2 linked regions of the Stegostoma tigrinum genome follow. The protein of the gene in region 1 interacts with the protein of each later gene in a biochemical or structural test. Links are inferred from orthologs where the notes say so. Each region holds a gene or a part of one and is shown on either strand. Other genes may lie near its edges.

Evidence for each region. The genes of interacting proteins can lie anywhere in the genome.
Region 2: the proteins of sntg1 (region 1) and plekha1b form a complex in vitro, tested with the Homo sapiens proteins (2 studies listed by BioGRID and IntAct, with this or other methods). The link is inferred for Stegostoma tigrinum from reciprocal best matches to the Homo sapiens genes SNTG1 and PLEKHA1.

What each region holds. Positions count from the first base shown.
Region 1 is NC_081358.1:71,008,451-71,015,971, reverse strand, and holds the start of sntg1 (gamma-1-syntrophin), read left to right. Parts: upstream 1-4,517; 5' UTR 4,518-4,598; intron 4,599-7,521. UniProt on the Homo sapiens protein: Adapter protein that binds to and probably organizes the subcellular localization of a variety of proteins. May link various receptors to the actin cytoskeleton and the dystrophin glycoprotein complex.
Region 2 is NC_081373.1:27,987,361-27,995,198, forward strand, and holds the start of plekha1b (pleckstrin homology domain-containing family A member 1), read left to right. Parts: upstream 1-4,820; 5' UTR 4,821-4,982; intron 4,983-7,838. UniProt on the Homo sapiens protein: Binds specifically to phosphatidylinositol 3,4-diphosphate (PtdIns3,4P2), but not to other phosphoinositides. May recruit other proteins to the plasma membrane.

The sequences.
Region 1 (7,521 bases):
TCACATTCAGTTACTCATTAAAATCATATCAGTATTTTTGTACACTTAAACATTCTGAGTTAAAAATACTGGAATTGGCACATTAAAAGTTTTTGACTGGTCAGAGACATTGAAGGTGGAATGTCAGGTGATGGAAGCTTTTTGAAATAAGTCCCAACTGAAATCCCACGGATTTAATGTGTCCAAAATGCCACATTTTTTCCCCACCAGCCTAATAAGTGGTACTCATGTTTTGCATGATGATAGTTGCCTTGGTATTGATTAATAGATTTCTTTTAACTTATGTCACATATACTGGATGCTTCATTCACTTTAAAGTAGTTCTCAGGGTTAATCTTTTGTATTCTACCTGGTAGGTGATAGCCTCCAGATTTGCACTAATGTTGATGAAGGAAATACTTCCCTTTTCTAAAAAAAAACTAAATAAGCCCTCATTTACTGACACCAGGAACAAACCTCTTGTTTAGATGCTTCTCTTCAGATGCTTCATTTGTGCATCAGGATCAGAATAGAAGCCAGTATACTTTGTTGTATCCTGATCAGAGGACTATTTAGCTTTATGTGATGATTTCAGATTTGTAAGTAATTGTTTCACAAAACTGCAATACCAGCATGGAACATTTACCTACAATGGCTAAATAATAAAATTATATAATAATAAATTGAAAGGAGTTAAGTGTTGTAATAGTCGAAAACTGTAAACTAAAAGTAAAATTTCGAATGGGAGGCTTATGTTCTGATCATTGTTTAGGTTTTCAAGGATTTATTATCATAGAAAAGTCGACAGCAGTCTCGAACCCAAACATTTTAGTCTCCATTTGAACTCTCAATAAATCTTGACAACACATTCAATACTGTTTTAGAAGTACAAATCGACAGAAGTATTCTTAATGGGAAATGAAATAGTTGAAATTATGCATGATTTTAAATCTGTAAAATAACTTAGTGTAAATCACAATAATCCTTACCCGTAATGGAGACATTTTTGTCAGAGAAAAATGCAATTGTAATGTTATGAGCATGTTATTTGATAAAAATATAATTAAAACATATGCACTCTTATAAGATTTGATTAAAATTGTAATTGTAATCATAAAAATATTTGCTTTAAACATTAATGTACATAAAACAGAGGGTGACTTGTGACTTTTTTTGCCTACTGTGATAAACTGCGGTTTAGTCACAAATTAACCGTCATTAAATGCATTTCATTTGCAATTATCTGCAGGAAATAAATTACAAAGCACTAATTCAATGACAAACCAATCTTATACTTCAGCTTAGTGCAGTTCATTTAAAACGTGACTAACAAGACACAGGATAATGATAGTTTCATGGGGAGCACTGTACACTTGACTGCCCTCCCTAACCTTTTCATTACCTGCATTTTCATTCCGAGTCAAATTTTGAGAAATTTAAACAAACAGTGATGCAACATTTCACTGTGTGCTTCACAACATGTTATGTTTAAACCATTAAAACTTCAAAGTGGTGCAAAGTAATTGTAGAACAAAACACACAAGAGAGCTTTCAACACACAAAAAATCTTGAGTGCTTGGACATGGGATGCAAAGAGTAGAACTGAGTTAATTGAAGGATTTCACACTGATAGCAAGGAGTTGGATGGTGGTGTATGTAGATCAGAATCACAGCATCGCAGACAATTAAAGCTAGAGAGGTTTAAGAGAGAAGGTGGAATGAGGCTGTACAGGAATTTAAAACTGAGGATATGGATTCTAATGAGAAGTTAAGGCAGAAAACCATAAGATAATTCGACCATAAGATATTGGTGCAAAATTAAGCCATTTGGCCCCCTCAAGTTTTCCCCACCATTCGATTCAAGGCTGATATGTTTCTCAACCCCATTCTCCTGCCTTCTCCCTGTAACCCTTGATCCCCCTACTAATCAAGAACCTATCTATCTCTGTCTTAAATGTATTCAATTAATTGGCCTCCATAGCCTTTTGCAGCAATGAATTCCACAGATTCAGCAACATCTAGCTGAAGTATTATCCCTTCACTCCAAGGCTGTGGTTTTGGGTCCTTTCCTACTTGTGGAAGCATCTTTCTGACATCCACTCTGCCCAGACCTCTTAGTATTCTGTAAGCTTCAATAAAAGATACCTCCTCAGCTTTTTCAATGCCATTGAGGGTCCTCAATATGACAAGACCCTCATCAACAAGATAATACTTGTATACTTCCTCTGGACCCCTCCAGTGTCAGCATGTGCTTCCATAGATACAGGATTCAAAATTTCTCACAATATTCCAAAAACAGCCTGACTAAAGCCTTATACAGGCTCAGCAGTTCATCCCTATTCTAATATTCTGGTCCTCCTGCACTGAATGCTAACATTGCATTTGTCTTCCTGACTGTTAACTAAACCCGTATGTAAACTTTAAGAAAATCCTAAACTAGGACTACCAAGTCCCTTTGTGCTTCATATTTCCTAAGACTTTCCCTATTTAGAACATATCCTATGCCTCATTCTTCCTACACACTTTCCCATATTGTATTCCATCTGCCACTTCTATGCCAACTCTTCTGGCATGTCCAAGTCCTTCAGCAGCCTCCCCCCTTCCTCAAAACTACCTGTCCCTCCACCCGTTGGGGGATGGGAGAGGGAACTGGAATAAATAGGGAGAGAGGGGGAGGCGGACCGAAGATGGAGAGTAAAGAAGATAGGTGGAGAGAGTATAGGTGGGGAGGTAGGGAGGGGATAGGTCAGTTTTTCCATCCCCACCCCTGTCTGCTTTCCGGAGAGACCACTCTCTCCGTGACTCCCTTGTTCACTCCACACTGCCCTCCAACCCCACCACACACGGCACCTTCCCCTGCAACCGCAGGAAATGCTACACTTGCCCCCACACCTCCTCCCTCACCCCCATCCCAGGCCCCAAGATGACATTCCACATTAAGCAGAGGTTCACCTGCACATCTGCCAATGTGGTATACTGCATCCACTGTACCCGGTGTGGCTTCCTGTACATTGGGGAAACCAAGCGGAGGCTTGGAGACCGCTTTGCAGAACACCTCCGCTCAGTTCGCAACAAACAACTGCATCTCCCAGTCGCAAACCATTTCCACTCTCCCTCCCATTCTTTAGATGACATGTCCATCATGGGCCTCCTGCACTGCCACAATGATGCCACCCGAAGGTTGCAGGAACAGCAACTCATATTCCGCCTGGGAACCCTGCAGCCTAATGGTATCAATGTGGACTTCACCAGTTTCAAAATATCCCCTTCCCCAACTGCATCCCTAAACCAGCCCAGTTCGCCCCCTCCCCCCACTGAACCACACAACCAGCCCAGCTCTTCCCCCCCACCCACTGCATCCCAAAACCAGTCCAACCTGTCTCTGCCTCCCTAACCGGTCCTTCCTCTCACCCATCCCTCCCTCCCACCACAAGCCGCACCCCCATCTACCTACTAACCTCATCCCACCTCCTTGACCTGTCCGTCTTCCCTGGACTGACCTATCCCCTCCCTACCTCCCCACCTATACTCTCTCCACCTATCTTCTTTACTCTCCATCTTCGGTCCGCCTCTCCCTCTCTCCCTATTTATTCCAGTTCCCTCTCCCCATCCCCCTCTCTGATGAAGGGTCTAGGCCCGAAACGGCAGCTTTTGTGCTCCTGAGATGCTGCTTGGCCTGCTGTGTTCATCCAGCCTCACATTTTATTATCTTGGAATTCTCCAGCATCTGCAGTTCCCATTATCTCTATTGTGCCTCCACCCGTCTTAGTCTTGTCTATAAAATTAGCAACAGCGTTCTCAGTTCCTTCATCCAAATTGTTAATACATAACATGAATAGTTGTGTACTCAACACGGATCCTTGCAGAACTCCACTAGTCACTGGCTGTCATCCTGAGAAAAGACCCCTTCATCCCCATTTTCTGCCTTTTGCCAATCAGCCAGTCCTCTATCCATGCCAATGCCTTGCCACTAACACTATGCACCCTGATCTTATTTAGCAGCCTCTTGTACAGCATCTTACCATAGGCCTTCTGGAAACCCAAATCAATCATGTGCACTGGCTGTCCTTTAAAAAAAACTTGCTTCTCAAAGAATTCTGATAGATTTGTTGGGCATGTCCTCCCCTTGATGAAGCTCTGCCTACTCAACTGTATTTTACCATGCATTTCCAAGTACTCTACAGTCTCATCCTTAATCTTACTAACAACTGAGATCAGGCTAACTGGCCTTTAAATTTCTGTCATCTGTCTTCCTCCCTTCTGAAATAGGAGTCTTATATTAACTATTTTAGTCCTCGTGACCTTCTCTGACTCCATTGATTCCTGAGAGATCACCACCATTGCCTCCACAATCTCCTCAGCTATCTCTTCCGAAACTCTGTGGTGTCGTCCCATCTGGTCCAATTAACTCACCCACTTAGAGACCTTTCAGCTTCCCCAGCACCTTCTTCTTTGTCAGGATGTAAATAATAGACAAATGAGACTTAGTGTAGAGCAGAATTCAGGATTTTTTTTCACTGCTTGCGCTTTGACTCCTGTAGGTTCAAGTGGATGGTGTGAAGACAAGAAAAAGTTGGGTTTGTAAATAAGCACGGACTTTAATGCAGCGGTGATCTCAAGTAGGTGATATTGTGGATCCTGAACTGAGCAATTTTGGAGATGAATCTTACAGCTCAGCTAAGGATTGAATGGAATATTTTATATCATTGAATTAAGAGTAAGAAGGCAGTTTTAGAGGTAATAATCAGTATTTTTGCTGCGACCCAAATAAAATGGGATTCATTTTAATCTTACACTAGCTGAAGAATTTACTGTTCATCCATGAACTATAGCAAGAAACCAGTTTGTCAATGTGGAGTTGAAGGTGGTAATAAGAAGTTGCCTTGGGTATTGTCAATGGACTTATTTAAGCTAACTGCTGTTCATTGATAATGTTGTTGAGACCCAGCATATACACAAGGAGAGAAAGGCAGCCCCTTGTTCATGATTAATGTGTGGGCATGAATTGAGTAGTCTTCACTGTGATATATTGACGTTGCTGTGTAAAGTTAGTGATTCTGTAAAGTAATATTAGGAGAAATAACATTTGAGGAGAACAGCATAGTACACCATGTCTCACATCAAGATAGGTCAGAGTGATACTAAGTCATGATCACATGTGACTACTGATTTGAATCTGAACAGGCTTTGTCAGCATATTGAAAGATGAAGACACTGAGGCACACAAATGAGACAACATTCCATAGACCTGGGTGACAATGGCATGTTCAAAGAATTACAGGGGAAAGAAAATATTGGTGGATAAATTCTAACTGAAAATGGATTAGATTTTGGAGAGGACAGTGATGACAATGGCTTTGAAAAAAAAAGACAAAGCAAATAGTTGACAATGTTGTTGAACATTATGGCAAAGAAACATAATCAAGAACTTGGATGAGGAGAAAGTCAAGAGTTGCGGAAGTGGATATCTGATTAGTTGAGTCTGTGAGTGTTGAAGAACAGCTGGAAGAGAAACTACAAACTACAGCATGACGAAGAATTGGAAGAGGAGTAAGTGTACGACTGGGAAGTTGGTGGATGAAAACGAAGACAGCTTTCCAAATAGTCACATTGTTAGAACTATTAATGTTCATTATGTGTCTGTTTTTGGCATGGAAGTAATGGATAAAAGGAATAGATACAGAGACAAGATAATAAAATGTGAGGCTGGATGAACACAGCAGGCCGAGCAGCATCTCAGGAGCACAAAAGCTGACGTTTCGGGCCTAGACCCTTCAGAGAGGGGGACGGGGTGAGGGTTCTGGAATAAATAGGGAGAGAGGGGGAGGCGGACCAAAGATGGAGAGAAAAGAAGATAGGTGGAGAGAGTATAGGTGGGGAGGTAGGGAGGGGATAGGTCAGTCCAGGGAAGACGGACAGGTCAAGGAGGTGGGATGAGGTTAGTAGGTAGATGGGGGTGCGGCTTGGGGTGGGAGGAAGGGATGGGTGAAAGGAAGAACAGGTTAGTGAGGCAGAGACAGGTTGGACTGGTTTTGGGATGCAGTGGGTGGAGGGGGAAGAGCTGGGCTGGTTGTGTGGTTCAGTGGGGGGAGGGGGCGAACTGGGCTGGTTTAGGGATGCAGTTGGGGAAGGGGAGATTTTGAAACTGGTGAAGTCCACATTGATACCATTAGGCTTCAGGGTTCCCAGGCGGAATATGAGTTGCTGTTCCTGCAACCTACGGGTGGCATCATTGTGGCACTGCAGGAGGCCCATGATGGACATGTCATCTAAAGAATGGTAGGAGGAGTGGAAATGGTTTGCGACTGGGAGATGCAGTAGTTTGTTGCAAACTGAGCGGAGGTGTTCTGCAAAGCGGTCTCCAAGCCTCCGCTTGGTTTCCCCAATGTAGAGGAAGCCACACCGGGTACAGTGGATGCAGTATACCACATTGGCAGATGTGCAGGTGAACCTCTGCTTAATGTGGAATGTCATCTTGGGGCCTGGGATGGGGGTGAGGGGGGAGGTGTGGGGGCAAGTGTAGCATTTCCTGCGGTTGCAGGGGAAGGTGCCGTGTGTGGTGGGGTTGGAGGGCAGTGTGGAGCGAACAAGGGAGTCACGGAGAGAGTGGTCTCTCTGGAAAGCAGACAGGGGTGGGGATGGAAAAATGTCTTGGGTGGTGGGGTCGGTTTGTAGATGGCGGAAGTGTCGGAGGATGATGCGTTGTATCTGGAGGTTGGTGGGGTGGTGTGTGAGAACGAGGGGGATCCTCTTTGGGCAGTTGTGGTGGGGGCGGGGTGTGAGGGATGTGTTGCAGGAAATGCGGGAGACGCGGTCAAGGGCGTTCTCGATCACTGTGGGCCGGGGAACCCTGCAGCCTAATGGTATCAATGTGAACGTCACCAGTTTCAAAATCTCCCCTTCCTCAACTGTATGCCTAAACCAGCCCAGTTCGTCCCCTCCCCCCACTGCGCCACACAACCAGTCCAGCTCTTCCCCTCCATCCACTGCATCCCAAAACCAGTCCAACCTGTCTCTGCCTCCCTAACCTGTTCTTCCTCTCACCTATCCCTTCCTCCCACCCCAACCGCACCCCCATCTACCTACTAACCTCATCCCACCTCCTTGACCTGTCCGTCTTCCCTGGACTGACCTATCCCCTCCCTACCTCCCCACCTATACTCTCTCCACCTATCTTCTTTTCTCTCCATCTTTGGTCCGCCTCCCCCTTTCTCCCTATTTATTCCAGAACCCTCACCCCATCCCCCTCTCTGATGAAGGGTCTAGGCCCGAAACGTCAGCTTTTGTGCTCCTGAGATGTTGCTTAGCCTGCTGTGTTCATCCAGCCTCACATTTTATTATCTTGGATTCTCCAGCATCTGCAGTTCCCATTATCTCAGATACAGAGACAATGTGTGATAGATAGTGACTTGAAATGAAGAGTTTAGGTCTTCTTAACTTGGCAGTCATGGAGTTTGATTGTGAAGGTGGATGTTAGCTATTATTGAAATAGTACAGCGAGAGCTGGGAGTGACTAAGACAATCAAGAATCAGGTTCACTTA
Region 2 (7,838 bases), on another chromosome or scaffold:
AACGGAACTTCTCTGATCACCCCCTCTTTCACACCCTAAGCCACACTGATTACTTGCTCTTTCACACCCCAAACACCTCTGATCACTTGTTCTTTTACACCTTCTACCCAACTGCTCATTCCTTCTTTCACACCATGAACCTCTCTGATCACTCCCTCTTTTACACCCTGAATCTCTCTGATCACTTCTTCCTTCACACCCCCTACCCCACTGATCACTCCTCCTTTTATAATCTGAACCCTTCCAATCACTTCCTGTTTCACACCCTGGTTTTAAAGACCTGAATCCATCTGATCACTTGCTCTTTCTCCCCCTGGTTTTTATGGTCACAATCTCCTCCAGTCTCTCACTCTTTATAGTTCCTGGTTTTTATAGGCCTGAACTCCTGCAGTCGCCCAATCTCTCCTGCTGGTTTTATGGCCCTGAGCTCCAATGATCAAATGCTGTCGAATGGTAGGGAGTGGCGATTAGATATTTCTTTGTTGGAGCTGGTCCCTGTCTGACACTTGAGTGGTATACATTTTTGTCTTGGTCTATGGAATATGCTTTTCCTGTTTCACAACCATTAAATCTGGCACTCTCCTGATTTATTGGATTTGTGAGCCAGTTGCATTGAAAACTGTTGGGACCAAATTAAGCATCATTCCACAGTTTGCAATGAAAGCTTGTCACAAAAATGCTGTTGCTTACATTGGAACATGACTGTGCCAACATTCAGCAGGTTGGCACCTTACTTTTTGGCATGTTTGGCGTTCTTTCTGGCATGCTTTCCTGCACTCATGATTGATCTAAAGTCAGTCACCCAGTTTGACGGTAATGGTAGTGAGGGATATGCTAAACCTTGAGGTAACAGATTATTAAGAATACAATTCAACTTCTGCTGTTGGCTCAAAATGTTTTATCAATGGCCAGTTTTGAACTCTTGGTTCTGTTAGTTTCCATCATTCCATTGTCACATGGGATTTCTAACTAGTGTACATAAACGATTGAGCTATTGTCTCTGGTTGTGTGTCACCTTGTCCTGCACTATAGTGTAATAAAGTTCTGAGGAAGAGTCACTCGATCTGAAAAGTTAACACTGATTTCTCTCCACTGATGCTGCCAAACCTGCTGAGCTTTTCCAGAAATTTCTATTTTTGTCTGCAATTGAGTGGATTGTGTCAATGAGTTGTGTAATCTGTTTGGTTGATGTGGCTGACATGGATGAATGGTTCACAATGTGTGCAAGCTGTGAGATACTGTGTGTTTTGCAAAAGTGTTGTGTGTGATAGTGCAAAGTAGCATATGAATGCATGGTATGAATTCTGATGATAGAGATCGTTGATTGATGAGTAATTAGGGTGTGGTGAATTACTGACTGTCTGAAGTGAGTGGAGTGTTTGGTAGGAATTGGCATTGAAGATGTATTCACAAAGCTTGTGCACTACCTGCCTCGCAATCAACAGATGTGTGTTAATCACGTATTAAATCCTCAGGTCGGAGGTCATGGCTACCAAACATGTGATAACCCTTTTTTAAGAGATAGGAGTTATATTTGAATGCATTGAATACATCCATTTATGTTGTTTCAAATTATTTTGTTCATGTCAAATAATACTCATTTCTTGGATTAAGATATTTGATCTTTAGGAACCTAATCAGCATCTACAAATCAAAGTTTAATTATGCAATTGAATCTAAAAGCAATTTTAATCTCTATATGTCAGGTACAAATGAGAGGTTATAAAGTGCTTCTTATGGAAAGTGTGGCTAAATGATTATATTACAAAAAGAGCATAAAAGATATTCAGAATTTAGTGCAGATCACCAAATCAGAACAAAAGTGGGGTGTTGCATACTTTGGCTAAAGATATAAAGTACTTAGATGAACACTTGAAATATCATAACATTCATTGCTATGGGCCAAGTGCTGGACAATGGAATGAGTGTATATTCAGGGTTTTTTTTGTCAGTGCAGACTCAATGGATTGATGGGCATCTTCCAAACTGTATGATTTTATGATTCTAAGACATAAACAGCTTATGTAAAAACATGAAGGTTAAACAAATGGAGAATTCTATCTAATTAATATGAATTGCAATACTCAAACACTCTAATTTGGTAAATCTAATGCATGGTTTTTTCAAAATTAATCAGTAAAACTACTGGAAGCTGTTCTCAAGCTGGATTTGATATCACTAAACATGATATAATTTGAAGAATGGTGGTGTTTGAACAATATGGAGAACAGTGACTACAATGTAATTAAATTTCATATAAACTGACATTCATCATTATCGAAGGGATAGCTACGCCAAGTACAGCTTTAGAATGCATGCACACTACAACTGTAGGATGCTGTGTGGAGGTTTCGCTTCTTATTGACACTGCTGTCTTCATGTATATATAAAGCATGAATCTTTAGATAAGATCTGACTTAATGCATAAAACTAAAGTGAGAAACTAGACAAGGCAAACTTCAAAGGGTTTTAGGAAAGAATTACACATTTACTTGAGGAAATTGTTCATTAACAAGACAGTAGAGGACAAAACAATACTTTTGAAAGCATTCCAAAGACTTTCCAATGCAAATTTGTAATCTGGGACTGGAGAGTGGTGCAAAACAGGCAAAATTTGAATTAGTAAACAAATCCATTAAAAATAATATTCTTCTTCTTCAGGTCCCTTCTTTCTTCTTGGCAAGGATTGGGTGCGATGTTGGCACAGTCATGTTCCACTGTAAGCAACAGCATTTTTGTGACAAGCTTTCATTGCAAACTGTGGAATGATGCTTAATTTGGTCCCAACAGTTTTCAATGCAACTGCCTCACAAATCCAATAAATCAGGAGAGTGCCGTGGATGTGTCACACATCTACATATTGTCTCCTGTTTTTGTAAATTTATTCTTCCAGTGAGATCACAGGCTGACATTTACTGCCCAACTCCAATAACTGGTAAACTGAGTGGCTTGCTAGGCCATTTCAGAGGGCAGTTAAGAGTCAACCACATTGCCCTGGATCTGGAGTATTAAGCAGACCAGACGAGAGAAGAATGGCTAATTTCCTTACCTCACTTATATCAGTTAACCCAAAGATTTTTTTACAACAATTAATTTTAGTGTCACAGTCACCATTATAGCTTATGTGCCATTGTCATCTATTTTGGATCATCTGTCATGAAGTCATATCACATCCTGGGCTAATAGTGCACCTACAGAGTCATGGAGTCAGACAGCATGGAAACAGACCATTTAGCCCAATTTGTCCATGCCAGTCAGACATCCCAATCTGACCTAGTCCCATTTGCAGCATTTGGCCCATATCCAGCTAAAGCTTTGCTTATTCACATAGCCACCCAGATGTCTTTTAAATGCTGTAATTGTAAATGTCTTCACCATTCAGCACGCCAACACACTGGACAGCAGAAATAAAGTAGATATAATACTGAATATTGGGATATATTCTTTTGGAACTGTAGAGTAGTACAGTCACACCTGAAGTACTAAATCAAGTTTGGACACCGAGGCTCTACAAAAATCTAAAACCAGAGTCGAGAAAAGTAACCAACTAATTCCTGATATCAGAAGATTGAGCACAAGTGGAAACTAGATATCTGGGCTATTTACCATTGAAGAGTTTGATGAATAGATAAGGTGTTTAAAAAACGGTGGAACAGTTGGATTAGTGGGATTACTTCCAGAGAAAACATAGAAGAAAGACATAGTCCCAAGGTCTAAAATAACAAACATGAGAATTCAGAGATATAAAGAATTTCTTCATTGCAAATAATTTCAAAACTTTGAATAGATACTCAACAGAATCTTACAGGTAAAACTGCCTGCAAGCATGGCAGATCTAATTAGATTCAAAGAATAGAGTTACTGCAGACTTTTCTTTCTGGAATGAGAAGCTAACTTTAGTAAATGTACCTCTTCGTGAATACATATTTTGTGAATACTTGTCTTTTACAAAACAAACAAAAACGATTGAATTGCCAATTTTTAAAAAAAAAGTGTTCTCAATCACTCATTTGGCACTTTAGTTCTAAATTTATGGATTCACAAATTTCACTTTTCTCAAATCATTAACTTATTAATGATTAATTTTTCATGATTAAGGTGGTAGATAACATTTATGGGAATTTTAAAAAAAAGTTGTTAGTAATTTTCCATGCAAGCTTTCATTAATTTTCCCCAGTATGATGCTCTGGTTCATTAGATTCCACTTCAGGACTATGTAATGTTCGGTCTCACATGGGTACTCATCAAGTACAACGAGATTTCCAGCGTGGGGACACAGAGCAAAATCTTATAAGGCTTGGTGCGTTGTGGGCCATGGTGAGAAATCCAAGAAAACTGCGCAACAAGTGCACCATTGAGAGCAACTAGTTGTAAATGCCACAAAACATGCAGTGCATCTCTGGATTGCCAGCACTTGCCTGAGAGCGCAGATAGTCACATATAGATGGTACCAGTGCCAGAGAGGATATTATTCGAGGATATTAACTCTCTCTCTCCGCACAGATGTCTTGCCAGATCTGTTGAGTTTCTGCAGCACTTTGTTTCTCGAGCAGACGGCCCTGGAAAGGGAACTACAATGCCCAGAGGGCCTTTGCGAGCAGACCTGTGACATCAGATTCGTTGTTCGGGATGACCCCCTTGACCCGGAAGTGGATAGTTCGGTAGAGTAGCGCTCGCTCGGCGGAGAGCGTCGCGGAGCTCGGGGTCGCTTTCCTTATTCTTTCCCGCTTGCGGGTGAGTGTGACAGCCGATCCAGTGAGTCTGCCTTGTCGCCGATTGTGTCCCCGGTGTGAGCGGGGCTTTGCGGAGCTTTGATGGGGGAGGAAGAGGGAGCAGAGCGACGCAGAGTCGGCCTTTCCCGAGTGGGCGGGCGGCTGGCTGGCTGGCTGGCTATGGGCTGCTAAAAGCCGGCTCCCTACCGCGGAATATTATACTGCACAACTGCCCCCCTCACACAGCCTCGACAGGACCGAAACCACAGAGTGAGATACTAATAATCTCAGCCTAACCCCGTATGCAGTCCAAGGACGCTGTGCCTGTATTGAATGTTGTATGTATGCATATTGTTAGGGAGAAGAGGGACAGACGGTTTATCGCCGTGCTTTTGTTTCTTCTTTAAACTGTAAACTTCTGCCTCATGGTTTATCGGTTATTCGTGACCTCGTTGAATATTGCTGTCACCTTTACGAAATGGATAATCGGACGTGAGCAATTTTGCGTCCGATTGGGAGGTTCAGATTTGAAGCCAACAACTATGCGTGTCCAAGTTTGTTGTAATCGAAGTGAGATGAATGAGATACGATGCGAGAAAGTGTGAGGTTGCCCATTTTTGACAGCACGAGATTGTCTATATGGGCAGAGGGTGCCGAGATCTGAGTGTCTTAGTGCACGAATTGCAGGAGGTTAGTATGAAACAACAAATTAGGAAACTTGAATGTTACGTTTTGTTATGAGGGGAATTGAATGAAAATTGGGAGATTGTTTCAGTTATCCAGGGCATTGGTGAGACCACGTCTGTGGTACTGTATAGAATACAGGCCACTCTACTTCTTGAAAGGCGTTAATGTGTTGGAAGCAAATCAGAGAAGATTTACTAGACTCATGCTTGGAATGAATGGATTTTTTGTTTTAACGGAAGACGAGACAAGCTTGGCCTGTATTCTCTGGAAGTTTAGAAGAGTCAAAAGTGACAATTTAAATATCTAAGATTCTGAGGGGACTTAACTGGGTGGATGAAGAAATGAAGGTTCTTGTGGGAAAATCTGGAACAAGGGCAGGCGGTAGAAGCATATATGATAGCAATGTTTGAGGCATTCAGACAGACACAGGTACAGGCAGGGAATAACGGGGTATGGACCATATGCAAGTGAATGGGATTAGTTTGGAATGTTGCCATGGTTGGTGCAGACAAGTCCCCTCCCCCCACTGCACCACACAACCAGCCCAGCTCTTCCCCTCCACCCACTGCATCCCAAAACCAGTCCAACCTGTCTCTGCCTCCCTAACCTGTTCTTCCTCTCACCCATCCCTTCCTCCCACCCCAAACCACACCCCCATCTACCTACTAACCTCATCCCACCTCCTTGACCTGTCCGTCTTCCCTGGACTGACCTATCCCCTCCCTACCTCCCCACCTATACTCTCTCCACCTATCATCTTTTCTCTCCATCTTCGGTCCGCCTCCCCCTCTCTCCCTATTTATTCCAGAACCCTCACCCCATCCCCCTCTCTGATGAAGGGTCTAGGCCCAAAACATCAGCTTTTGTGCTCCTGAGATGCTGCTGGGCCTGCTGTGTTCATCCAGCCTCACATTTTATTATCTTGGCTTGAAGGACTGTTCTTGTCCTGTAGCGTTATATATGAAGGTTTAAAAATGAGGTGCCCATTTAAAACTGAGATGAGGAATTTTTTTTTAAGCCTGGGGGTTGAGTCTTTGAAATTCCTTTCCTCAGAAGGTAGTGGAAACTGAATCTCTAATATTTAAGGCAGAGGTAAGTAGGTTATTCGTAACTAAGGGGATGAAAAATTGCCATGGATATGCAGGAATGTAGAGTTGAGGTTAAAATCAGATCGGCTATGATTTTATTGAATGGCAGAGGAGGCTAGAAGGGCTGAGTGGTCTATTCTTGTTTTCCCCTTATATGTAATGGCTTTAATGAGTTTTATCTGTACCAGGTCTGATAACGTGAATGTAATTTTTCTGAAAGAGCTTGATAATACATGAAGTGCAGTATTGGAAACACGTTGTACTATCTACATTGGGACTGGTGTTTATGAAAAGAATGGAAGAATTCATGTTTCTGATGTTAGATCTCTGTCAAACTGAGTTCTTAACTGGTGCTGTATACCCTGAAAACAACTTGAGATGTCTCCATATTTAAGGGATCAACCTTTACTATTTCTGCTATGTCCAGCATGACACCACAACCAAATATTCAAAGTGAATGTTCGTTCTGTGACACCATAGTTCACTCCTACTTCCACCCTAATCCATCCGTGGCACCTTCCCTGCAATCACAAATAGTCTCACACTTGCCCATTAACTTCTCATCTTTATCAAAGGCTCTAAAAATTCCTTCCACATAAAGCTATGATTGAGAGGGGAAGGTTTTAAAAGGGATCTAAGAGGCAACTTTTCATGCAAAAAGGTGGTGTGTGTATGGAGCTAACTGTCAGAGGAAGTGATGACAAGGGGATATATTCAAGGAGTGAATGATTTAACTCCTTGAGTCTTTTCCTTCTCAGTGGGATTGTTGATTTACTACCTAACTAAAAGTGTAACAAAATCTATCAATCTTCATTTTAAACCTAACAATTTATGCATCAGCTGCCATTTGCTGTAAAATTCCACCCCTTTGTTATTTTTTTTGTGTAGCTAATGACCTGGATCTAAGTTTTAGACTCTGTCTTGAAACATTTGATCAAATTACACCTTATATTAATTTCCAGAGAATACAACTCTAGTTGTATATGTCATAATTGTATCTTTGGAGTTCAAGTATTATTTTAGTAAATCTGTACACTTTGTCCAAAGCCAACATATCCTTCCTAAGATATGGTGTCTAGAACTGGACACAGCTTTACATACAATGCTAAAATGCTGCACATGTTGGAAATACAAAATGAAAACCAAATGCTGCAGACGTTCTGGTATGACAGCATCTGTGGAGAGAGAAAAGTGTTGATGTTTCAAGTATAAAAGTTCAGTTCTTTGAAACTGGAGAGAGAAGTGAAAAAGTGACTTTTATATTGTAGAAAAGGGTGGGGAGAAGCAAGTGCAACAAGAGGAACACTTGAGGGCAAGGGAGGTTAGGGTATGATAGAAGAAATGGCAAAAT